Macaca fascicularis: one gene and its partners. The protein of the gene in region 3 interacts with the protein of the main gene of each other region in a biochemical or structural test. Links are inferred from orthologs where the notes say so. Each region holds a gene or a part of one and is shown on either strand. Other genes may lie near its edges.

Region 1 (5,899 bases), on a different chromosome or scaffold from region 3:
GTTTGGGGAGGGTGGGGGCCGGGGAGGGAGGGGGGCTGCTGCCCACAGGCTGGGCAGTCGGCGCAGGCAGGAGCCGGGCTGGGGTTGTCAAGGGAATGGGACCTTCTACAGTTGGAATGAGGGCGCCCAGACTGGCTGGGGAGCCATTTCTTCATCTGTAGCTCCTGGGGGGCGGAGGGAACTCTTTTTCCAGCCACCAAACACCTCCTCATTATTCTCATCAGGGATGGACTCAAGTTGAAGGGCATCGGCCACAGCAGAACAGTTCCCCACCGCCGACTGGCACTCACAGGCAGGCAGGAGGGAGCGGTTCCCCGCGACTTCCCAGCCCCCTCCATGCCCATTTTACATCTGAGCCTGGCAGACCAAAAGGGCCACGGGATTTGGAGGTCAGAGTTTGCAGATGCCAGGACAGAAACCAGACTCAATAATTACCCCACACCCCGCGCCAAAAGATGAGTTCCGCCTTCTCTTCCCCAGCCCCAGCCTGAGGCCGGGAGGAGGGAGCTGGGGCAAACAAGAGCCCAAAGGCGGGTCCAATTGTGAAGGGTCAATTTCCTTCAAAGAGGCATCACCCGCCCAGAGGGGGCATCACCCACCCAGAGGTGGCATCACCTGTGCCCAAAGGAGGCATCACCCACCCAGAGGAGGCATCACCACCAGCCCAGGAGGCATCACCTGTGCCCAGGAGGTATCACCACCAGCCCAGAAGGCATCACCCACCCATAGAGGGTATCACCCACCCAGGGGGCATCACCTGTGCCCAGAGGAGGCATCACCCATCAAGAGGAGGCATCACCACCAGCCCAAGAGGCATCACCACCCACCCAGGAGGCATCACCCCTGGAGAGGAGGCATCACCTGTGCCCAGGAGGCATCATCACCTGCCCAGGAGGCATCACCCGCCCAGAGGAGGTGCCCCAAGTTGGCAGGGTGGTGGGGTCTGGGCTTCTCAGTAAATGGTCCAGAGCTTCCCCTGACAGATCAACTGTTTCTTGGGGACTTTAAGAAGAATTGGGGTCCTGGGACTCCCACTTAGTAACCCAGGAGCCTGAGGTGGCCCACAGAGGAGTGCCTAAGCCCCCAGCAGTCAGACCAGCTCCACACGCAGCATAATTGCTGGTGATTAAGTAATTGCCAGACTTTGTCCAATAAAAGTCAGCACGTGACCGTGCCCAGACTCTGGGCCATCTCCAGAAGACAATGCCCCAGGGTTCTGTCCCCAGCGCGGCTGCAGAAGGCAGGGGCTCTGCCCTCAACAAAGCAACAGGTCCCGCAGGGGTGGTACTCACACGCAGGCCTCCGTGCCATTGGCCGCTTCACACTTCCCGCCATTCAGGCAGGTCTCACCCGGCTGGGAGCACCGCGGGCCTAGGCAGGGGCAGGAGAAGAGAGGTCAGTCTCACCCGCACCACCGAAGGCCCTTGTTACCCTGGGGGTGGGACCCGCACCCAGCCGAGGGGCACTGTCCTCCCCCGACCCTGGACGCCTCTACTCAGTGACATGGGTTACCAGGGCAGGGGACCACAGGAAGCCCCACCATGAAACCAAAGGGCGTCAACATTCTGCCCAGAGTTCTGTAGTCAGAAATGGGGGGAAGAGGAGCAGCAGGGAACACGTCCTGCTTGAAGCAGGATGGGGTGGCCTGACGTGCCGCCTGGACGCAGTGGGGTAAAAGCAGAGACAAAGTGGGCTACTCTCCCAAGCGTTGCCCCCCACCCCAGAGGCTCACTGGGGAGGCTGGCAGAGCAGGGCCCCCCATCCAGCCGCCGAGATTGCCTCTGTTCAAACCCGTTCTGCAAGGGGGCAGAGCTGGACGGCGGGAAGGGGGGGTGGCCACACTCAGCTCCCGCCCGTGGGAAAATGCGACAGCTGCTCGCCCGCTGCCCCGCCCGCCAACAAAGCGCCGGCCTCCGCCTCAGAATCAGAGCGGCCCATTGTGGAGTCGGGGCCGCCTCCAGGGGCACCAGGACTGCACCCCGGAGACCCGGCCCCGCCTCCGCCGACACCCAATACCTGCTCCCGCGGGCGCGCATCTCTAGGGCAGCCCCCAAACACACACAGGAGGGGGATGAAGGTCCCCCATTCGGAAGGAATTCGACCCCATCTCGAGAAGGGATCAATTACTCAAGCCCCTCCCTCCCCATCTTAGGGGGCTGAGAAACGGGGGAGGGTGGTGTGACATAGAGCAGCACTTTCTGGAAGAGAACAAATAATTCTCGCCTGCAACTCCCGGAGAAAGAGTGGATTAATCACTCGATTCCCCAGAGACCCCCCTCGATGTGCGGCGAGGAGAGATGTAAGAGCCCCCCACCCGCGTCCCGCTCTCCACCCCCAAGCTCTCCAAACTTCAACTCTGCAAAGCAAAAGGAAAAGTTCAGTGCCCCCCGGCACGAAGGCTTCTTACGCAAACCCCTCCCCCAAACTGAGAGCTGGGCTGGGGGGCACCGGCGGGCGGGGCGACCGGGAGCCCGGGGCCCCAGCCGGGCCGCGCGGGTCAGTGAAGGCGAACGCGGCGCCGCGGAGCCCACACTCCGCGCCCCAACATCCGCCCCGGCGTGGGCCAGAAGCGAAGAAGAAAGAAGATAAATGGCCCGGAGAAGCAACAGGAAACCAAAACCGACTCTATTCAAATCGAAAAGTAGTAGGCAGCCCGCCCGCCCGGCCGACCGGCGGCAAGCCCCACGCGCGGCGGGTGAAGGGCGGGCCCGGGTAGGGCCTCCGGGACCCCAGCACCTCACGCCGGCCTCCAAACTCGGCTCCAGGCACGGGCGGCGCGAGTCCGCCTCCACGGGGGGATCGAGGGGGAGGGTCGGTCCTCCCCCAGCCCGGGACTCCAAGAACCCCACGCCCCGGGCCGCCCGCTTTTCCCTCTCCACGCCCGCTCCCAGCCACGGGGCGCGTGCGCCGGGCGCTGCCGTTTCCAAAGAGCGCGGAAAGTGGGGGCTCGCGGGTGGGTGGGCGCCTACCTCGTGCGGCGAGCGCGGGCAGCAGCGCCAGGCAGAGCAGGGGCGCCAGGAGCGGCGGCATGCCTCCCCCCCGCTGCCCTCTGCGCCCGGACGGCGGCCTCCTGCGCTGGCCGGCGGGGCTGGGACGCACACGCGCGGCGGACGGTCCCGGGGCGGCGGCGGACAGTCCCGCCCTCTCTTCCCCGGCTGGCAGTTGGCGCTGTGCTCCCGCGGGCTCCCGGGCCCGTCTCCGCGCCTGGCTCGTTCCTTCGCTGCGCTCGCACCCGCGCCCCGCGCCCCGCGCCCCTGCGCTCCCTCCCGCGGCCGAGGCACTAGTGAGGCTCAGAGTCGAGGTGCGCTCCGCCCCCACCGGCCCCGCCCCGCCCGGCCCCGCCCCCACCGGTCCCCCCGCCCCCTCCGCGGCCGCCTCCTCCCGCGCGCTGGGTCCGCCTTTGCGCCTCCCCGAGCTGAGCCGCGCGTCCCGAGCCCAGCCTCTCCGGGGAGGAGGGACCCGGCGGCGCGGCGTGGGTCGGGAGCGGGCGCCTGGGACTACTTCTCGTTTGAAAGTTTTCAGAGGCCAAAAGTTTGAGCCGGGGCTGCGGAAGGATCCGGCTCTGGCCGTTGCCGCGCTCGGCGACAATTGGCGACGGAAGTTTGCATGTGAATAAGCGGAGGAGCCCGGGGTGGAGTAGGGAGGGCGAGGCCGCAGGCAGCTGTGTCCACCGTGCTCTGGGCCGGGCGGGGAGCAGCTGAGGCCACGTTGGGGGACCCCGGGCCCGGGGCAGGGCTTTGGGAGAAGTGGCCTAGCCGTGGGTGCGCCCCTAGCCCAGCGGCTTCTCTCCCTCCCCAGGGCCCCGTGGCTGCGGCTTTAGGCGTCCAGAGGATCGATCGCCGCCAGACACCCCTGGCCGTGATTGCCTGAGCACTTGACCGCGAGGGATGGGGGCGCAGCGGCCTCAGGGCAGGGAGTTTAGGGCGCCCCAAGGGAGCAGCCTGGACCAGTGCCTCGCGGACGTATTGCGCCCCGCTGCCCCAGGGGGGACCCGCGTCGACATGCTCCTCGGTCACCGTCCTCCTCCTGCCGGGGCGCCGCCTGCCTAAGGTGGCCCCAGAAAGCACAAACGGGTCGGGCGGATCTGCCGCTGGCGCCGGCGCAGCCCCTCCCACGTGCCCCTTCCGGCTGATTTATTTCTCCACCACGATGCCAGGCACGGGCACCCTGTGCCAAGCCTGGTTAAGCGCCAGGAGTCCAAAATGCCTGCCATAGTCCCTGCGCAAAGTTCACAGCCTCGTGCTGGGGACAAACAGCGCCCCCTCCCCACTCCAACACAGGGTGGTGAGTGCGATGGCAGAAGGCGCTGGGGGCTCTCCTGGAGTAGGAGGGCTATGCCTGCCCTGAAGGGAGACTGAAAGGCTGAGAGGGACCTAGGACTCGGGAGCCTGGGGGAGTGGCTGCAGAAACCGCAGAGCATGGTGGCAGAGGGAGGCACAGAAAGCGGGACAAATCTCACACCTGACTCCAGCGAGCCTTTCCTGGCACACCTCTTGCCAAGTGCTGAGCACTCTGGAAACAGCCAGTGCAGACGGCCTATCCCCCCCTGTAGCTGCTGCTGGGAGCCTCCCTCGCCTGCGTCCTCCCAGAAGCTGGCCTCACTTCTCCAGGCCTGGGGTAACATCTCGGGGTCAGCGCCCCAGGAGAGGAGGCGTCTGGAGGCAGCAGAGATGTTTATGTAACAGCAGCCCGGCAGCCTGGAGGAGCAGATTTTCCATAGAAGGAAGCGCGGGGCTGTGCGGCTCCCAGGCTGAGGACACTGCCCACCACGACGTCCTCTGCTCCCGGTAGGTGGGGGTGGGGTGGGGCACAGGGAGGCCTGAAGGCCTCAGGCCTAGTGTTGATCGGGTGCAACTGCCTGTGTGCCTCCGTTGGCATCTCTGCCTGTGAGCCCCAGGCCAGAAGTAATGGCCCATGTAGCCCTAGCTCGGGGGCCAGTCCTCAACATTTTTCGAAGGGGTGGCCTGGGAGGGGCGGCCTGGGAGGGGAGGGGATCCCTGGACGGGGGTTCTCCCCTGGTCTGCCCCAGCTGTGCTGACAGCATCTCCACCTGGGGCCTCTATCCTCTACCAGCAGAGAAGAGAGTGGCCCATTCGATGTCCACTCGTCAAGCCGCCCAGCAGCCAGGCACATTCATAAGCCCATGTTACAGATGGTGGAGCTGGGTGCACAGACCTGAGGGAAGCACAGGCCTCAGCCTCCCAGCTCCCAACGCCTGCACCACCCACAGCCGGGAGTACCCCATGGACAGCTGGTACTGAGGAGAAGCAAGGGATGAGGGGGATGGGCCTCCCCTCCCCACCAGCCTGGGAAGGGGGTGGGCCCCTGGCAAGTAGGTGAGAAGCTTCATTCACAAGTTGTCCGGGCTTCCCATTCCTCTTTTTCAGGCCAGTGGGTGTGGGCAGTGGGGGAAGGCAGGGGTCCTACCGAGCAGGAGTGTATCTGCTGCCCTGGGGCCTGGAGACCTTCTCCTGCAGGTCAGGGGGGCAGCACCGGGCAGCGGGCATTGCAGGGGCTAAAGAGAAACAAAAGAAAGCAGGTTGTGTGCAGGGCACCCCAGCCACTCCAGAAACCCAATCAGAAGGTGGGGGCTAGGACCCCAAGAAGCCGAATTGGGGTGCAGTGCTGCCAGGCCTCCCCCGTGGGAGTCACTTTGGGCTTCCTGTCCCAGCTTGTGGTGGGAGCTGGGACAAGGTTCCCGGGGTACCCCTGAGGGCAGGGGTACCCTGAATGAAGGGGCTGTTCCCAAGCTGGCCAAGGAGCCTGGAAGCAGAGGAGATGGGGCCGCAGAGCCGGGTTTGCAGAGGGGAGAGGCAGACGTGGCCCGCAGCCCCCTCTTCTTCAGAGGCCACGTGCAGGTGCTGAGGGGAGAGCAGCCTAGGCGTTGCACCCCAGGAGA
Region 2 (5,970 bases), on a different chromosome or scaffold from region 3:
TATAACTCTTTCACACCATACATTAACAGAAATAATAATTTCCCCTCATTGAGTTTCCTATTTACTATCTCTTTAATTGTACCTGCTTTAATTGCTGTCATGGAGCGTCTGAATTTTATAATCCAAGATACTAAGATGTTTATTTGATATACCACCTCCACACTTAATGTCTTATAATCTCTGCCAAGAATTTTAAAATTTTTGTTGGTCTGACAGGAAGAGGAATTCCATGGTTTGGTGAACCCAGAAAGTCTTCAGTACATCTCAGTTATAAAACTGCTAAATACACTTAAGTTCTATAATTCTATAAGACCCATTTGAGGTTTACACACTGAGCATCCAGTTCCTCATCTTCCTCTTCATAGGTTAACCCTGTGTAGTACAAGTTCTACTCCCATAATTCTATGAACAAAACAGCCCTTGATACATAGGTTTGATTTTTAAAATATATTTTCTTTACTTTATTCTAAATGTAATATAAGGTCAACATAGAAAACAGAAAACTGAAAAGCATAAGGAAAGTGAAATATCTATAATCTTATCAACCATTATTTTTGTTGTATTCCCAGTTTTTTATATATATTAGTATGGTACTTTTAATAAAAGTAATGCCAAAAGGCATATGCCAATTTGAACTCTGCTTTTTCCACTTACAATTATATCAGTTTCTCATATTTGCTATTCTTCTGCAATATTTGCTGCATAGAATTCCATCACACAAAGCTAACTACCAGAAATTCCTTATTACTTTTGCTAGACACTTAGGGTTTACATTTTTTAAAATTTATAAATCTTTGATCACAGCTCTGATGATTTCTCTGGGAACTGATAGCCTAACAGAACTCATGTCCACTTTAAGACTTTTAACATTCTGAAAAATTGTATTACAAACAGAGTGCTGGTCTCCCTGCAACACGTTCACTCACACTGGCTGAGGTTTTAATTCTTTGCCAGTCTGAGAGGAAGAAATGCCAACTCTTTGTTTGCTCTTGTAATGCCAGTCATGTCCCTTTTTTTCCTGTTACCAGTCATACCGGTTTACTACTCAGAACCCTACAAATCAATCCTGCTCATTCTTAATTTTCCGATATTCTTCCTAAGATTGTTTCACCAGAAAACTTCTCCCCCTTATCCACTCTTCACCTAACAATTTCTACCCACCCCAATCCTCCTGCATTCATTGCTTCCAACTGGCACGTAGGACACCCTTGGTCTTACATTGTTTATGCATGTGTATTTAGTCTTCAATAAAACATTCAGTTGCTCAAGGGCAAGGGCCCCATAGAGTCTCAATATGCTAACGGCCTGGTGTTGCCTAATAATTTAGATTCTGAGGGGTCCTCTCCAGGGAGGGGAGCAAAGAGCAAATTATCTTAGGGGCTGGGAGTGCAGAAGTCAAACCTTTGAGATTGTGAAAACAAGACGGCCCCGAGAAGATTCAGTAGCAGGTATTCAAGCAGGAAAAACTCACATATTGTTTCTAATAATGCCTGACTAATGCAAAATACCAAATAAGGGCCCAGGCAGTCCAGACGGCCTGCAGGGCCCCAGGATAAAACTAACCCTGAGGGGTGCTGGCCCACGGTGACCCCCTGCCTGGACTCTGGATCTCTGTTTTTACGTCGAAGTGCTTTATTCTTGATTCTCGAGTTCCCGGAAACGATGACCAAAGCAGCTTAGTTTTCCACCCTTCCTTGGTCACAAATATGACGATGAGGCAGCCCTTTCCCGCACGACGCCTCAGGCTTCCGGGATGGTCAGCCAAAAGTTTACCAAGAAAAGAGGCGGGTCCCGGAAGCCAGGGCAGGTAGGCCCCGCCAGGGCCACGCCCTGTCTCCTCGAAGGCCAACGGCTACCTCGGGCTCCGACCCCACAGCCCGCCGATTGGTCTCAGCCTCCCTCGTGAGTCGACTGACTTCCGCCCCCGGCGCGGTTCAGGCCACGCCCACCTGTTCTGCGGCCCTAGATACTTTGTGAGTTGGTGATTGTTGCGTACCATAGCCGGACTCAGAAGGGGCTTCCCTGCTCGGCTGGCTCTCGGTTTCTCTGCTCTCCCTCCGGAAAAATAGCGGCGTCTTCCGCATCGCGCCATGGCTTCTTCCGGCCGCCGCGAGCGTCCCTTTTCTTCCGGTCGGTTTCCTGGGTTGCTTTTGGCTACCCTCGTGTTGCAGCTATCCTCCTTCTCCGGTAGGACCCCGGGGCGAGTTCGCGCGTCCGCGGCGAGGCTAGAGCTCTGCGCAGTCAGTCGGGCAGGAGGCGCGGGGCGGGGCTCACTGCACGTCGTGCCTGCCTGGGATAGAGAGCGAGGCCAGGGTTCTCCGAGGGGTGTAGTGCTCAGATCCTGGGGGTATGTGGCGGGGATTGCGGGGACCACGCAGAGCCCGAGGTGAAGCTTGTTTCGGGGCGTGGTGTGCGCGGCCGGCATTTACGCAGGATCTGGCTGTGTCCCCTTCAAAAGCGTGAACAGTGTTTTCGGGATTGAGCCCTGTCGACAAGGGGAGTGCGGACTGCGCGCCCCAGGTGAGGGCTTGCTCTGGAGTGCACAGGTGCGTGGGAGTGTTGCTAGGGCCCGTGCTGTGCCCGTGGTGAGAGTTTGCCCTGTGTTCCCTTGGTGCCTTGGTGAGTGGAGTGTTCATTAGGGCTTGGACAGTACCCGCGGTAAGGGTTGCAGTGCGTCTGCTGTGCCCCATGTGCTGGACTGGGCTGGGCGAGAGGGGCCTGACCAGGTGTTGCTGGGAGCCTGTTGTGCGCAAGTGGCCTGTGTGCAGAGTTCACTGTGGGCAAGACAGCTAGCTCACTGTTTTCTTTGAATGGAGTGAGCGCGGACTCTGGGGCTGGGGAGGGCATATTGGGTGAGAGCAGGCTCTCAGTGCCTGGTGTTAGAGAGGTGGTAAGGGCGCGCCATGCTTTTTGTGCCTTCTGTGAACAGACTTCTGTGTTGCCTGAGCTCCTATTAGTTTTTAAATGGCTGCTTTTTTGGGGGTGGGTGGACCATCGAGTCATCTTCCTGTTCCCAACCAATAGAGACAGTATCTGATTCCATTACCTAATGGATTTTTGACATTGTTTTCCTTCTTTTCATTAGAGTCATATTTGAGAGATGTGAAGCAACCTAAAAAACACTGGTAACCAAGCCTAGTGAGAAATTAGTATCCTAACAAAGGAAGGCAAATAATGTTAATCTTGTTTTCCCCTACAGCTCATAAACTAAAGCTTAAGGCCTATCCCACTAAATTTGTATTGTATTTCATTGAATGGAATCAGTAATTTTAAAAATGCATGCTAGGCCAGGCGCAGTGACTGACGCCTGTGATCCCAGCAGTTTGGGAAGCCCAGGCGGGGTGATTGCTTGTGCCCAGGAGTTCGAGATCAACGTGGGTAACATGGCAAAACCCCATCTGTACAAAAAATACAAAAATTAGCGGGGCATGGTGGTGTGTGCCCGTGGTCCCAGCTACTCTGGGGGCTGAGGTAGGAGATTCGCTTGAGCTCAGGAGGTGAAGGCTGCAGTGAGCTGTGATCATGCCACTGCACTCTAACCTGCATGACAGAGTGAGACCCTGTCAAAACAAAACAAAACAAAACAAACCGCTAAGAAATACATGCTTATTGTATGACACGAACAGAATCAAAAGACAACTATTTTTAATATTTTGGTATATTTCTTTCTGACTTTATGTGCGCTTCATGTGTATCTATGTCCAAATTATATTTAGGATCTAATAACGTATAGTTTCTGTGTTGCATTTTTTTCCTTAGGAGCATTTGCTCAACGAATATGGGTTTTGTATGTCTATTGCTATTACACTGGTAGGCAATAACAAACCATTCCTATTTTCTTGATCCTTTTTTCACTATTGGTTTACACACACGTTCATGCAGGAAGATAAGCAGAGACTTTGTTTTGCTCGATGCTAAGTGCTCAGTGCCGGGAACACAGTAGGTAACCAATCAATTATTTGCTACAATGTATTGGGAGTGGCAGACATTAACCAAAACTTAATAGTAACAAATAAATTATGAACCAAGGGAAGTTCTCTGGAGGAAAGGCGTATAATTTTCAGATATAAATCTGACAGCATTTAACAGATGTCTCGAGGGAGGGAAGGCTTTTCTGCTCATCAAACAGACTTTGGGGGCATCTGTGCTTGCTGTTCCCTCAGCCTGGGAACACTCTCCTCCTGACCTGCTGCAGAAACAGGCTTGCTCTTCTGCAAAGTCAGCTGGAAGGTTATGCCCTAGGAGACCTTCTCTGAACGCGCCCCCCCCGCCCCCGCCCCCGCCCCCGCCCCCACAACGTCCCCGCCCCCACAACGTCCCCGCCCCCACAACGTCCCCGCCCCCACAACGTCCCCGCCCCCACAACGTCCCCGCCCCCACAACGTCCCCGCCCCCACAACGTCCCCGCCCCCACAACGTCCCCGCCCCCACAACGTCCCCCATCTCAGGTTGAACATACAACCCGGTTCAAGTCCCTCTTCACTTGTAATCACCCTTTTAAAATGACCTTTTCTGTTTTTTGTCTCTCCCTGTTAGAATGCAGGGATCCTGCCTGTGTTGTCATACTTGTGGTTCCAAAAGCCCCATTTGTTTGCCTCCATATCTGTTAAATACCAGAAAATTAAATATACTATTCGGCTGGAGTTTAGAGCCTAGGAAAAAGCTCCTCCTGCCTCTAAGAGGAAGGTTGTTTAAAGAGCTCTGCTCAGGATGGTCTTTCTGTGGTACCTAAAAAGCTAGGGCAGGGGCAGCTGAGGGCCAGAAAGGATCTGTCTCCCCTGTTTGTGTTAACTTTGCAGAGCTTCCGGTACTTCAGTCTTGCATCTCACTGATCATTAAAACGTTCATTTTGAAGGAGGGTGATGGGAGTAGGGAGCAGTGGTGATAAGAAAACGAGAGGACTTTTTCTTTTTGTCTTTTACGATTAATGCTTAGAATAGGCTTAGTGCTAGAAGTGCGGCCTGAGCAACATAAGGAGAGCCCACCTATACAAAAAATTTGCCCACCTATACAGAAAATTTAAAAAAAAAATTAGCCAGGTGTGATGTTGCACGCCTGTGGTCCCAGCTACTTGTGACGCTGAGGGGGGAGGATCACTGGAGCGCCCGCGGTCAAGGCTGTAGTGAGCCCTGATTGTACTCCAGCTTTGGTGACAGAGTGAGAGACCATGTCTCAAACCAAACAAAACAAAACACAAACACACACAAAACAAAACAGGAAGTTGAAGAAGATGATGAATGCGATTTGAAATAGAGGAACATACAAAAATAAAATGAATAGGGTGCAACATGGAAGATAAAACTAAGAATGAAGAGAAGGAAAAACAAGGTTAAATTTGAGGTTCATAAGCATAAATCAAGACAGGTATGAAACCTAGAGAAAGTGAAAATGAGAACTCACGATGTTAGGCAGAGAGAATACATGGATTAAAATAAACATTCAATTTTTGGAGCAACTCAGTCTCACAAGGAGAAGGTTTTGTAAGCAGACAGTGCTGTGCATGGGAGACCTGCCCTCTCAAAAGTAATTGCCAAATGGTTCCAGATAGCTGAAGGAAACAATGTATCAAAGTTCAGGCCAGTCTCATTCATTCCTCCAGTAGAGGAACTGCTTTTTTGGACAAAATCCCCAATCTCCTGTTGTGTGTGGTCTCTTCTGCCTATTTTAGGTGTTTTCCTTATTTCCGATGAAAGAAGCCAAGATCAGTAAGTGCTTACACAGTAGCTTCTCAGTTGCTTACTCGGCATACTTCCATGCAAAGAGAGCAGTCCATATCCGGTCACCTGCCAGGATACCAGAAGACTGGGAGATAGGTAGCACGAGAAATGGCCTAATCTTCTTTCTCCACTGTGCTGTAGAATGATTGTTTTCAATATGAAATTGGTTACAATATATTATTCACATTGTTTTGTGTTTGACAGCAGTGGACTTTGAGTACCAATTTTTTTGTGGATGGCTACTATGAGTGAC
Region 3 (5,910 bases):
TTCACATGCACATCAGAACGTGGACTGTATATCATATCTGACCAAATCGTTTCCTCCTCGTCCTCTCTAGAACATGAACAGTTGCTTGGATGGGGTCATAATTCCAAACAAAGGGCATGAATTACATGACCTTCTACACTGACCTACCCCTGCACCCTTTGCTGACACCCAGCGTCAGCAAATTTGGGAGGACTCATGCAAATGGTAATTGTGCCTGCTAGGGGTTGGGAGACGAAAGTGGTTTGGAGTTTTGCTTTGTTTTTAACCATATATCCTTTTCTTGTTATCTCTTGAATTCTGTACTGAGTTCATTTATTTCCTATTCAAGGAAATCAGTTTTAAAAGACATAGTTAATTGCCAAACTGAATGAAGCTGTGCTCTCTACTTAAATACTTGCTCAGCTACTTAAGTGTTTCAGTTACGTTTATACTCAGCCTGGAATCATTCTTGAAAGTTATGGACTGTGCCGTTTCTCCAACCACATACAGAAAAACAAACACACCTAAACTCCAATTTCTCTTGAGAAGTAAAGCTTATGTTTCACAGGCCTTTTTGGGGCATGAGGGTGGAGACTTGTGATACATGTGTTTGTCCCAACTTCAAAAGAACCACATTCTCAGCGTTGCCCCATTGGTCTTCCCCCATTCGAGAAAAGCGGAGAGTCTATTTCATGGTTGGTGACCCGTGGGGCCTGAAACCACAGAAGAGCACCAGCAAATGCAAATCAATCGCTTCTCCTGCCCTCCCACACTATTTCCGCTCCTTTTCCATTGAGCACTCGCTGACCAAGTGTCAAAAGGGGACAGACGCACCTTCTAGGTCACTTTTCCTTGGCCAGCCTAGACTAGAGCAAGCCTCCTTGTTTTCATGCTAGCCATCCCTCTGACCCTACTCTCCAAAATGAGCCTCAGCCAGGCTGCTGCTTTTCCACATCACTAATAAGATTCCTTTTATGGTCTTGTGAAAAGCGAGGGGCTCCAGACAGATCCTCCGGCAGGAGGGTGGAACCACCTGCAGGCCCCTTCCCCCTAAACTTCAAACACACGTTCAAGGGCACTGAGTATTCACAGTCAGCTTGGGCCCAGCCAGATTTAAAGGTAGCCAGGCTCTTTAGCTTAAAGTTCTCCCTAATAGGGGATTAACAAACAAGATAAATACTCTTGGTAAAAATGAAATCCCACAACAGAAGCAGTCCTTGGACCTCAAGAGAGCTTCACATACAGTAGTGTTGGTTTTAATTTTTTTTTTATAAACCCTTTTTCATGGCAGTTTTTGATAAGTGTCTTATCTCACCCACAGCGGAGGGCACCTTATAATGCCAGCTCCTGTAAACGTGGATTTTAAGAGCCACCCCAAGCTTCATACACAGTCACAGCCTGATACTCTCCCCTCTCTCGTCTCCTCCCAGAATCACAGCCAAAGCTGGCGGACAGGAGGCAGCAGAGTGCACCCCATTAGAGCACGTGGTGGTAAGCAATCCTCTGGGGCACCGAGCTCCCCCTCTCACCACCCACCCTCCCAGCACAGGCTAGGCCAAACCCCAGTCTTGGCAATGAGTCATGCCTCCTGGACAGCGGGAGCCAGGCAGAGGGCACACCCCCAACATTTCCCTTTCCTCCCCTTCTGCAATCGCACCCATCTTCCTTCCACCCATTTTGGGATGTTGCAAGGGCCTCGTTGCAGGATCTGCCAGCTGGGCCCGGGGCCTCGAGCTGCTTTGGGGGCGGAATGGGGTGGAGGATGAGGGTCTATCACTTGCACCCGCAGGCACCACCTCCAGAAGACCACCCCTTCCAGGCCTTGGCACGGCCCCCGAAGGCTTGCGGGGGCCGTGCACCCGCCCTTCCCGGGGAAGTCTGCAAACACAGCTGTTCCAGAGCCCGGGAACCGCTGGAAGTGAGGCCACAAGAGCTACACCACTCGGGGGCGGGGGCAGGAAGGGGCCGGCAGCGGGCGGGGGTTCCCGGGTCTACAGCTCCTGTGAGGGCCCCAAGAACCTCCTCCTGCGGCAGCCGCCCCCGGCCCCTGAGCCAAGCCCGGAGAGCGCCCCCGCACACACTAAAATCTCCCGGGGAGCAGCGGGAAACGGACTCCCCCACACCCTCCAGGAAGGACACACCCGCCCTCCCGGCCGTTCACGGGAAAGGGGAGGTTGCCAATTTGGACGGCGTTCGCAGGCCAGAACTGCGCCGAGTCGCCTTCCACGGCGCACCAGGTTTAATTAGTTAAGAAAAGAGATCAGCTACAACGACCTCTTGGCTTGGGGCCGGGAGGGTTACTCCGGGAACTTCAAGTTGCAAGTTTACACCGGCCTTCCTAGGAGCCTGGTCCCATAACCCCTCTGGGATCCCCACTTTTGTGCACTAGGCAAACAGCAGCAGGAATGGGACCCATCTCGACTACCCCGGTCGAGATCTAACTATAGTGTCCCGGCTCCCCCAACCGCCACCCCTAGAGATTTCCCCCGTTAGCGCCGAGTTTCAAGCCAAAGCCCTTTAAATCCCTCTAGCAGGGGATAGCAAAGCTCGGCCAGGCGCGGGTGTGAGTCTCCGCCTGGCCTCCTTCCCGAGTCGTCACTCACCGGCCAGGCGAAACTGAAAGGCAGCACGATGCGGTTGCGGTCGTTGCCGCGGCTGGCCTTGAGGTTGAAGGTGTTGCCCCCGATGACAGGCGTGGACCCTGAGCCGAAGCTGCAGGGTCCCCCGGCCGTGACGCGGGACTGATACTCCTTGAGGCACACTTTGAAGTATGTGTCACACTCGTCGCGGGTGCACTTGCGGTCTCCCGGGTTCCGGGCGCCGCCGCAGCAGTTCCCGTTCTGCAGCTCCCCGTTCACGTTCTGCATGGACAGGATCTCCAACTCGAACTGACCCGAGGCCCCACACACCTGCCGGCGAGGGAAGGAGGAAGGTCAGCGCCGGAGAAAGCTGTTTTCTTCGAGTATAGAGGTGGCGACTCCCTCCCACTCCCCGCCCCGACGAGCCCTCCGCGCCGAGTGAAAATAATTTTGCAAAACTAGGTTCAAGGACTCAACATGATTCCGGGGCAAAAAAAAAAAAAAAAAAAAAAAATGCACGAGTGCGGAAGAAATCCGACGACGACGACTGCCCGGGGGGCAAGAGCGGAGCGAACGCGCCCCTGCCCGGCCTGGAGGGGTCACCCTCAGGAGGCCGGGGCTCCCGGGAGTTGGCGCGCTCAGCCCAGGTGCAGCCGCTCCGGCGTAGGGGCGAGGAGTCGGGCGCTCGAAGGCTGCCGAGCCTGCTCGCGGGGCTCAACCGCCCAGGGCGCCGCGAGGGGAGGGAAAGGATGGCTGGGAGCAAGGCCCGGAGAGGGGCTCCTACCTTGGCTCGCAGGGCACAGAGCAGGGCGAGCAGGAGGCTTAGGGGGCGCCCGGGCCGGCCGCGCGTCCGTGGGGACCGCATCGCTGCGCCGCGCGCCGCGGGCACTCGGGACGCCGCCGCTGCTGTTCGCGCTGGTGCTGCCGCCGGTGCTGCAGTCGCCGCTGCCCCTGCGGCCGCCGCGTCCCGGCTCTAATATACTCCGCCGATTGGAGCATGCACGACTGGAAAACAACACCACTTTTCAAAAGCCCTTTCAAGAGCGGCCCTTTCCAGAAGGCAAAGAGCCCGGCCTCCTTTTATTATTCTGATCGCTTCTTTGAGACGCTCCCCCTCCTCTTCCACCTCCCGGCTTTCTTTCCTTCTCTCGCGCTCCCCTTCTTTTATTATTATGATTATGCGCAGCCTTTTATTCCCTTTCAGATCAGCTGCATGGAAAAAGGGGGAGGGAGGGTAGAAAAAAAAAAACCCAGCCTAGCTCGCGGGCCGGCCGCAGGTAACACAATGACGCGTGCCCGCCCGGCTCTCGGAGAGGGACCCGGAGAGCCCGTCTGGCAGCCGCGGCCCGGGCTGGCCACCTCTACCCAGCACGCCGGGCAGGGCGCATGCGCCCTTATTAATATTCATGAGAGGGCGTGCTCACCCAGGACACGCCCCTCCCCTTCACGTTGCTGGGGAGGGGGTAGTGCGGGGAGGAACTTGGAAGGGGTCGGGGGCTCGTGGATGCTTAGGGCGGCAAAGAAATACCGGGGCCCCACAGCAACCCCTGTTCTCGGGAGCTTCGGGCCAGGAGGGAAGGGAGAGTGCGGGGAGGTACTTGGAAGGGATGGTTGCTTAGGGACGCGTGGAGGCCCCCAGCGGGGACCGCCCCCTCGGGCGCCCGGGACCGGGAGCCTTTGCCCGCGCGTCGGGGCCCCAGGTGTAGGCGCCGCGGCGCTGGCGGAGCGGTCGGAGCGGGGCAGCTTCCGCCTTCCGAGCCGCCTGCGTCAGCTGCGGCTTTTGCCCCGGGAGGAGGGCCTGCCTGCCCGCCGGGAGTTCGGCCCGCTTCCCGCGAGCGAGCCGCCCAGAGCGCTCTGCTGGCGGCAGAGGCGGCGGCGAGGCTGGCGCGCTTGCCGCCGTCTGCTCGCCCCGCGGAGGCGACCTGGGCAGACGCTGCTGGGAACTTTGAAAAACTTTCCTGGAGCCAGGCTTGCCGCAGATTCGAGGGGAAGCCTCGGCCGCGCCCCACTCCCTCCCAAATCCGAGTCTGCGGAGCCTGGGAGGGCTCCCAGCTTCCTTTCCAAACCGCGCCGGGGCAGAGGCGCAGGGAAACCGGGGGTAGAAGGCGGTGGGCACGCCGGGGCCGTGTTCAGGCTTTGGGAAGGGCCTGCGGAGATGCTGGTGGGCTTGGAAGCCCTCCCCGGCCCGCCGCCCCGGCCGCAGTGCCGGTATTGCACCTGTAGGCGGCCTCCGAGCTGCTCTCTGGGTGGCAAGGGGCCTGGAAGGGACCGTGTCCCCACCACCGCCAGCCGCGGAACTTGCCTTCTCTGGGGTGGCAGTGGAAACCGATACTGTTTTCCACCTTGAGGCAAGCCTGGCAATTAACATCTACACTCCCGGTCATAATCAAGGTCGAAGAAAGCCCATGGGCTGGCCGTAGCCTCTGCCAACCCCTCTCCCAACGGGCTTGCTGTTGCATTTGAGGGGGCCTTTATATGGAAACATCGACTTCCTTTGAAGGGTGGACAAAGTTTTGGCCCTAACATTGGGTATGTCCTGCAGAAAAGCGTGACTGTTCAGCGGCCGGTTTGGGACTTGAGTTCTGAGTATGGGGCGTGATGGGCTGGCAATAGGTCAAGGGAAAATAGTTTCCAACATGCTGAGTTATGAGCATAAAAGGGTGGGTGTTTGTGGTTATCTACTTACTGCATTTGATGGGAGGCTCAGTATGAACAACATTTTCAGTGCCAGATCTCATCATTCTGAGGAATAAACTAGGGCAGCTAACTGACCTCTTTACATAGGTTCAAAGCTACCAAGGATGGTTAGGAGTCTTGGCATTTTAACAGCCTAAGAAATGCTCCTAAGAAAAGTGCTTACTTAGTGTTAATGTGTCCCATCTTGAGCACTGGCGAGATAATCCACGTTTTGGAAGGGAGGTTTCTAAGAACAGAGCAGGTTTAAGACTGGTCATGTTAGCAAGTGGGGTAGGCAGCAACAACCTGGGTGTTTCAATGTGTCCCAGCCTCCCTTCTCCCAGTTATCCTAAATGCAAGGCATCCAGTTGTCAACTGTAATCCTATCTACACTTTTCTCACTGAAGTTTCCATCAACATCAGTCTCCCCACTTATCTGTCCTGTTATAATTTATACTTCCATGTATCCCTGAGTTTGGGTGCTAAATAACGGTTTAAAAGTAAAATGGGCCTTGCGCTGTGGGTCGCGCCTGTAATCCCAGCACTTTGGGAGGCCGAGGCGAGTGGATCACGAGGTCAAGAGATTGAGACCATCCTGGACAACATGGTGAAACCCCATCTCTACTACAAATGCAAAAGTTAGCTGGGCGTGGTGGCGCATACCTGTAGTCCCAGC
Region 4 (5,197 bases), on a different chromosome or scaffold from region 3:
ACAATGTCATGGTGCATGCGATCCCGAGCCACATCCCGGGGAAGACGATCCATATGGTCTGTGATGTCTCGATTGGCAAAATGGTCTAACAGGATCTTGGCTGCTTCATAGCTCCCCTCCCGGGCAGCAAGAAACAGCGGTGTCTCTTCCTACAGAAAAGGCCCATCACAGAACACGTTAACACTCTTGAGAATATAGCAGTTTTTCTCAGTCTTTCTTATTATCACCCCCTTAGACATGTTTTCCTAATTATCTCCCCGATGAAATATTAACATCACAGATAGGCTGTGCCTCTACCAGTGTACTGAATGTATATCTGTGATTTATACACAAAAAGAGTAAGATTATTTCACCTCTCCTCAAAAAACAATTTTGCACCTTAGGAGGAACATCTCTTTAGTTGGGAATTCATAAAATAAAGCATGCCCCTGAGCCAGAGACTCACTTAAAAGAGTACTGAGCTTATCAAAATAAGGTTCTAATAGGAAAAGGAGTTACAAATAAGAAAGGTAGGAAGAGAAAAAACTAAGGCATGCACAGGACTGGGAAAAATAAGGGAAACAGTGAAAGAAAGAAGAGACAAAACATGTGCAAGAAAGGACTAAGATGAGGAAAATGAAGAAAACTGAGAGATGATGAATGACAGAAGGAAGCAGGACAAAAAACTCAGACGGAGAAAAATCAAACAGGAAAACATCAGGGTATCCAAGGATAGAAAAAGCAGCAGCAGGAGGGAAAAAAGAAAGAAAACAAGAGAAAAAGAAGTGACTATGAACAGAAGAGACAGCTGGAGAAAAGGAATGTCAGGGAGAGAAAAGGTTACACCAAGCTATCTATAGCCAGCCTACTGCAAGCTGAATACTGAGAGGGAAAAGAACTCCATCCTGACACATGCCTGGACAAGCCCTATATTCTCATCAAGCTCTCCAAACCCAGTGTCTGCCCAAACTGCTTCCATCTTTGTCTATACATATCACAAGAGAAGCTGTAAGGAGAAATGGGAAGGGGCTTATAACTGAGGCACTGTTATGAGCCTCCTTAAACTCAGAGCCACAAATTGTACCTTGTTGTCCTGCATGTCTCGGTTAGCCCCATTTTTCAACAGCAAAAGAGTCGCCTCCACATTATTGACAGCAGCTGCCCAGTGAAGGGCAGATTTTCCTGAAGGGGAGAAACATTTTTATAAACAGACATATCATACTCTTAGTAAAAAACACCATGACTTGTACAACGAAACTTTAAATTCCCCAGAGATCAGCAGGAAGCAGTTCTCTGTAGGGGTCTATAGGAAAAACCAAAGTAATCTCTTCCTTTTCCTCTGTTCTAGAAATACTTCAGCACAGGCTGCCTAGCCTGCAGAAGACCTCTAGGTGAAAGGATCACTTGTATGAGGTATTCATGTCCCCTACATGGCAGAATCTACCCTGTTACATACTGAAGACAAAAACCTATGTATTACATGTCAGAATTTATATTGAGAATATTCCACAACTCTCCTAGAGAAGTCAGCTCTCATAAATCCTCAAATCAAGAGTGGTATGCCTAGGAAACTACATGGGAACACCTTTCATGTATCTGCTCTGAGGTCCAAGAACCCTCATTAAAAATCCCTCATTTTAATTAGGGATCTCCTACTGGCTTGGATCTCTGAGTTCAGCATGTTAAAGGAAGAATGAATAAATGCATGAATGAAAGAATGAGTGAATCTCCCATGTATTTGAATCTCAGACAGTTCTTTAAGGGTCATGTAACCATTCCCCCTCCTCAGAGGCATGCTTTGCAGGTAAGAATCCAAATCCCTGCCTTTCATCCCTACCATGGTCATCCACTGCATTCACATCTGCTTGGCAGTTGATCAGTTCTGCCACCATTCCCTCCACAGCCAGGCGGGCAGCCAGGATCAGGGGTGTAGTACCATCATTCATCCTGGCATCTAGATCAGTTACTCGGTTGCGAATCAGAATCTAGAAGAGGAGAAAATACAGAAAAGAGAGTCACCTGGATGAAGGAAAATAATGAAACTCAGTGAAGAAACAAGGGCATCAGAGCTGAGGCTACACTGTAGGTTCCCAGAGGGGAGGGAAAGTCTTGTTATCTTTGTGCCCAAGATTCTATCGTCATCAATCAATAAATAGTTGTTGATTGAATAAACAAATACGTGCTCAATAAATAATGGCCGATGTAAAGTGAAGAGCCTTCTACTTCCTCAGGAAAGAAGAGGGATGTGGGGAAATATCACAACTTCAGTCAGTCTACAGTCTAAGGTGATTCAGAATGCTTCCGATTTCCTCGTAAGGATAAACAGGCATCAGGGAATATAATAGGAACTCAGGTCAAGAAAACTGCCAATGAGCAGCTGGAAGCCCATACAGTCAGGCCAATCCGTAAGCAGTAGTGGATACAAGTCAAAGGCTCCAGAACAGGTATCACTCTCATCTAATCTATGCATTTGGGAAGCATCTTGGCACAACAAATTATCACTAATAATCAGAAAGACTGCTGTTGTCTGCAGTTGGCTCTATCACTATCTTCCTATATAGAGCTGGGTCAGTTTGCCTGTCTCCCCTCCCACTTTCCCATCTAGCAGGCATGACTCTAATACCTGCCCTAATCTCTCAAATGATTGAATAAATTCAATGAGATATTAGTTCCTTAAAAAAGATAAAACTGTACAGAGCCATAGGAATTATTATTCAAGTGACTCTTCTCATGTTCTTCACCTGGAAGACACCTTGGGCATCAGCTGCCACTGCAGCATGGAGGGGGCAGCGGCCCATGTTGTCCTGGGCATTGGCATCTGCACCTGCATCCAGGAGACGCTTGGCAGCATCAGCCCGTGAGTAGCGGGCTGCAAGGTGCAGGGCCATCTCACCAGTCCGGTCCGTCTGGGCCTGGAGGCTGGCACCTTGGTAGACCAAGTCTGTGATGATGTTAGCAGAAGAGTCCTCTGCATCTTCATCTTCATCACTCAAATCTGAGCTGCCTCCTCGGAGAGAAGCCAACATTAATGGGGTGCAGCCATCTGTAGGAATGGAAAATTCCATAAAGTACTCAAGAAGGAGAAGGCAGTTAACCCTATCTTCAGCTTGAAACAGCTCTATTTTAGTTACTCTTAGGGGCAAAGAATTCCCTGCACTTCTTGTAGTAACTGGTTATTAGTTTCACATTTGCTACGTTTTCCTCTGATAACATCGTTTCTGTAAAGAATAATGGGAAAGTACAAGTCTTTTTAAGCTGGGGGTTCTTCTCTAAGTAAAACAAGTTTTTCTGCTCAAGTTTAAGTGATATGTTATTTTAATTGGACATTTAAAAATATGTAATATTAATAGAGCAATTGATATATTCACAAGGTATTAACTAACTATCCTCTGCTTTGGGATATTATTTTTCTATCCTACTACAATCTAACCCATTTTATCAGCCTGTTTAGTCTCAACACACTGTACGTGAAACAATGTGAAATCCTTCCCTTTCTGAGTTGATAATTTCTTCATGGCTACATTTCTTAAGCATTCATTTCCTCAAGCTGATTTACAGTCTGTGAAATTGGGAAGGGGTGTATGGCTGGATGGGGCAAACACAGGGACAGCAATGTGGAACCATGGGCAGACACAGCCCAGTGAAGAGGGGAAGAGGCCGGGTGCTGACCTGGGCCCCGGACATTCACATCCAACACATCCACCTCCTGCTCTGCCTGAGGAGGGGTGAGGGCCAGCGATGGTGTCCTACGGATGTCTGCAGCTTCAAGGTGCTGCTGTGTCCATGGCCGTCGATCAATGGGGTCGTCTTCTTCTGAGAGTAAGGCTTCATCTTCAGCCTGAAAGGTGAAAACAACGCTCCCTATCCATCTGGCCACCACCAGAAACTGCTAATGAGAAGCTGTCCAGAGCCTCCACCAACCCTGCTTATCTCCCATTGTTTTCTCTCTTCCTACTCCTCCACCTCTCCGGAGGATTACCTCAGCCTTGGTTTCCCACTGCTCTCGTGATGTGGCTCCTGCTTACTTTTCCTGCATCATCTAGGCAATTCCCTTCCCCCATCCCAAACTCTAGGCTTTAGCCTTTAGATCTCCAGAGCACCCAATTCTCACTTTTCCTACCCTCCACTAGAAAGTAAACTTTAATTCTTCTTGTTGGCCCTAAAAAGCATACTCTGCTCACCTCTGCTTAACTGATCTTGTTTTAAGTGCTTACATAGTATTACATGGCCATCTCCACCACCAGGCTGTAAGCTTCTCGAGAAGGCAAAATAAGCCTTGTTCAACATTGCTTCCTTGTACTCAACATAGCACCCAACATGTAGAAAGCACTCAGGAAAGACTATTCAATAATAATTATGATAATTTAAAAGCAGCTACCCTTTACTGAACACTTAGTACATGACAGGAAAGTAGATAAGGCACATATGCCAACACAACAACCCACAGACGAAAGGGTTATTATTATCTGCATTTTACAAGGAATGATAATTACAAAGAGGTTAAGTAACTTGCCAGCTACTAAGTGGCAGAGTTTTGGATTTGAATCCAGTTCTGATATTAACTAAAGATTAGTTACTATCATAATTTCTTCACGGCTACATTCCTTAAGCATTCACTTCCTCAAGCTGATTTAGAGCCTGTGAAATTGAGAAGGGGTGTATGGCTGGATGGGGCAAACACAGGGACAGCAATGTGGAACCATGGGCAGACACAGCCCAGTGAAGAGGGGAAGAGGCCAGGTGCTGACCTGGGCCCCGGACATTCACATCCAACACATCCATCTCTTGCTCTGCCTGAGGAGGGGTGAGGGCCAGCGATGGTCTTCTTAACCATCACGCTCTACCAGCTCCCAGCAATGCACAGCTGTGGATGGATGGTCTCCTTTTTCATGTCAGTCTCAGCTCAATCTACCACTTGCTTTTATATGGTTTTAGTTTCCTGGGCTCAAAGTATGGAGCCTCCAATGTCAACGTTTTGCCATGATCACTGGCTTTCGTTTTGCCAATGTCAATGATCACTGGCTTTCTTCTACTGCTTAATTTCATCTTTTCTTATAGAAGGAGAAGTACCCATAAAGGATAAGGAAGAGACGTGGCCATGAAGGAATTGCCATCTACACACACCATTCCTGACTTGACTACTGCCAGCACGACACTAAAGGAAAGAGACGTGTTTGTTTTAATATTTTTAAAGAGTTATTCTTGAAGAGTATACATA

What was found.
Region 1: the proteins of JAG1 (region 3) and NOTCH1 form a complex in vitro, tested with the Homo sapiens proteins (3 studies listed by BioGRID and IntAct, with this or other methods). The link is inferred for Macaca fascicularis from reciprocal best matches to the Homo sapiens genes JAG1 and NOTCH1.
Region 2: the proteins of JAG1 (region 3) and CD46 form a complex in vitro, tested with the Homo sapiens proteins (2 studies listed by IntAct, with this or other methods). The link is inferred for Macaca fascicularis from reciprocal best matches to the Homo sapiens genes JAG1 and CD46.
Region 4: the proteins of JAG1 (region 3) and NOTCH2 form a complex in vitro, tested with the Homo sapiens proteins (2 studies listed by BioGRID). The link is inferred for Macaca fascicularis from reciprocal best matches to the Homo sapiens genes JAG1 and NOTCH2.

The regions. Positions count from the first base shown.
Region 1 is NC_088389.1:2,813,296-2,819,194, reverse strand, and holds the start of NOTCH1 (neurogenic locus notch homolog protein 1), read right to left. Parts: upstream 3,286-5,899; 5' UTR 3,031-3,285; coding exon 2,970-3,030; intron 1,372-2,969; coding exon 1,293-1,371; intron 1-1,292. UniProt on the Homo sapiens protein: Functions as a receptor for membrane-bound ligands Jagged-1 (JAG1), Jagged-2 (JAG2) and Delta-1 (DLL1) to regulate cell-fate determination.
Region 2 is NC_088375.1:65,570,688-65,576,657, forward strand, and holds the start of CD46 (membrane cofactor protein), read left to right. Parts: upstream 1-1,964; 5' UTR 1,965-2,090; coding exon 2,091-2,187; exon of another isoform or gene 2,188-2,546; intron 2,547-5,970. UniProt on the Homo sapiens protein: Acts as a cofactor for complement factor I, a serine protease which protects autologous cells against complement-mediated injury by cleaving C3b and C4b deposited on host tissue.
Region 3 is NC_088384.1:76,678,461-76,684,370, reverse strand, and holds the start of JAG1 (protein jagged-1), read right to left. Parts: upstream 3,893-5,910; 5' UTR 3,424-3,892; coding exon 3,343-3,423; intron 2,889-3,342; coding exon 2,583-2,888; intron 1-2,582. UniProt on the Homo sapiens protein: Ligand for multiple Notch receptors and involved in the mediation of Notch signaling. May be involved in cell-fate decisions during hematopoiesis. Seems to be involved in early and late stages of mammalian cardiovascular development.
Region 4 is NC_088375.1:114,479,454-114,484,650, reverse strand, and holds part of NOTCH2 (neurogenic locus notch homolog protein 2), read right to left. Parts: intron 3,818-5,197; coding exon 3,649-3,817; intron 3,023-3,648; coding exon 2,721-3,022; intron 1,965-2,720; coding exon 1,817-1,964; intron 1,162-1,816; coding exon 1,064-1,161; intron 150-1,063; coding exon 1-149. UniProt on the Homo sapiens protein: Functions as a receptor for membrane-bound ligands Jagged-1 (JAG1), Jagged-2 (JAG2) and Delta-1 (DLL1) to regulate cell-fate determination.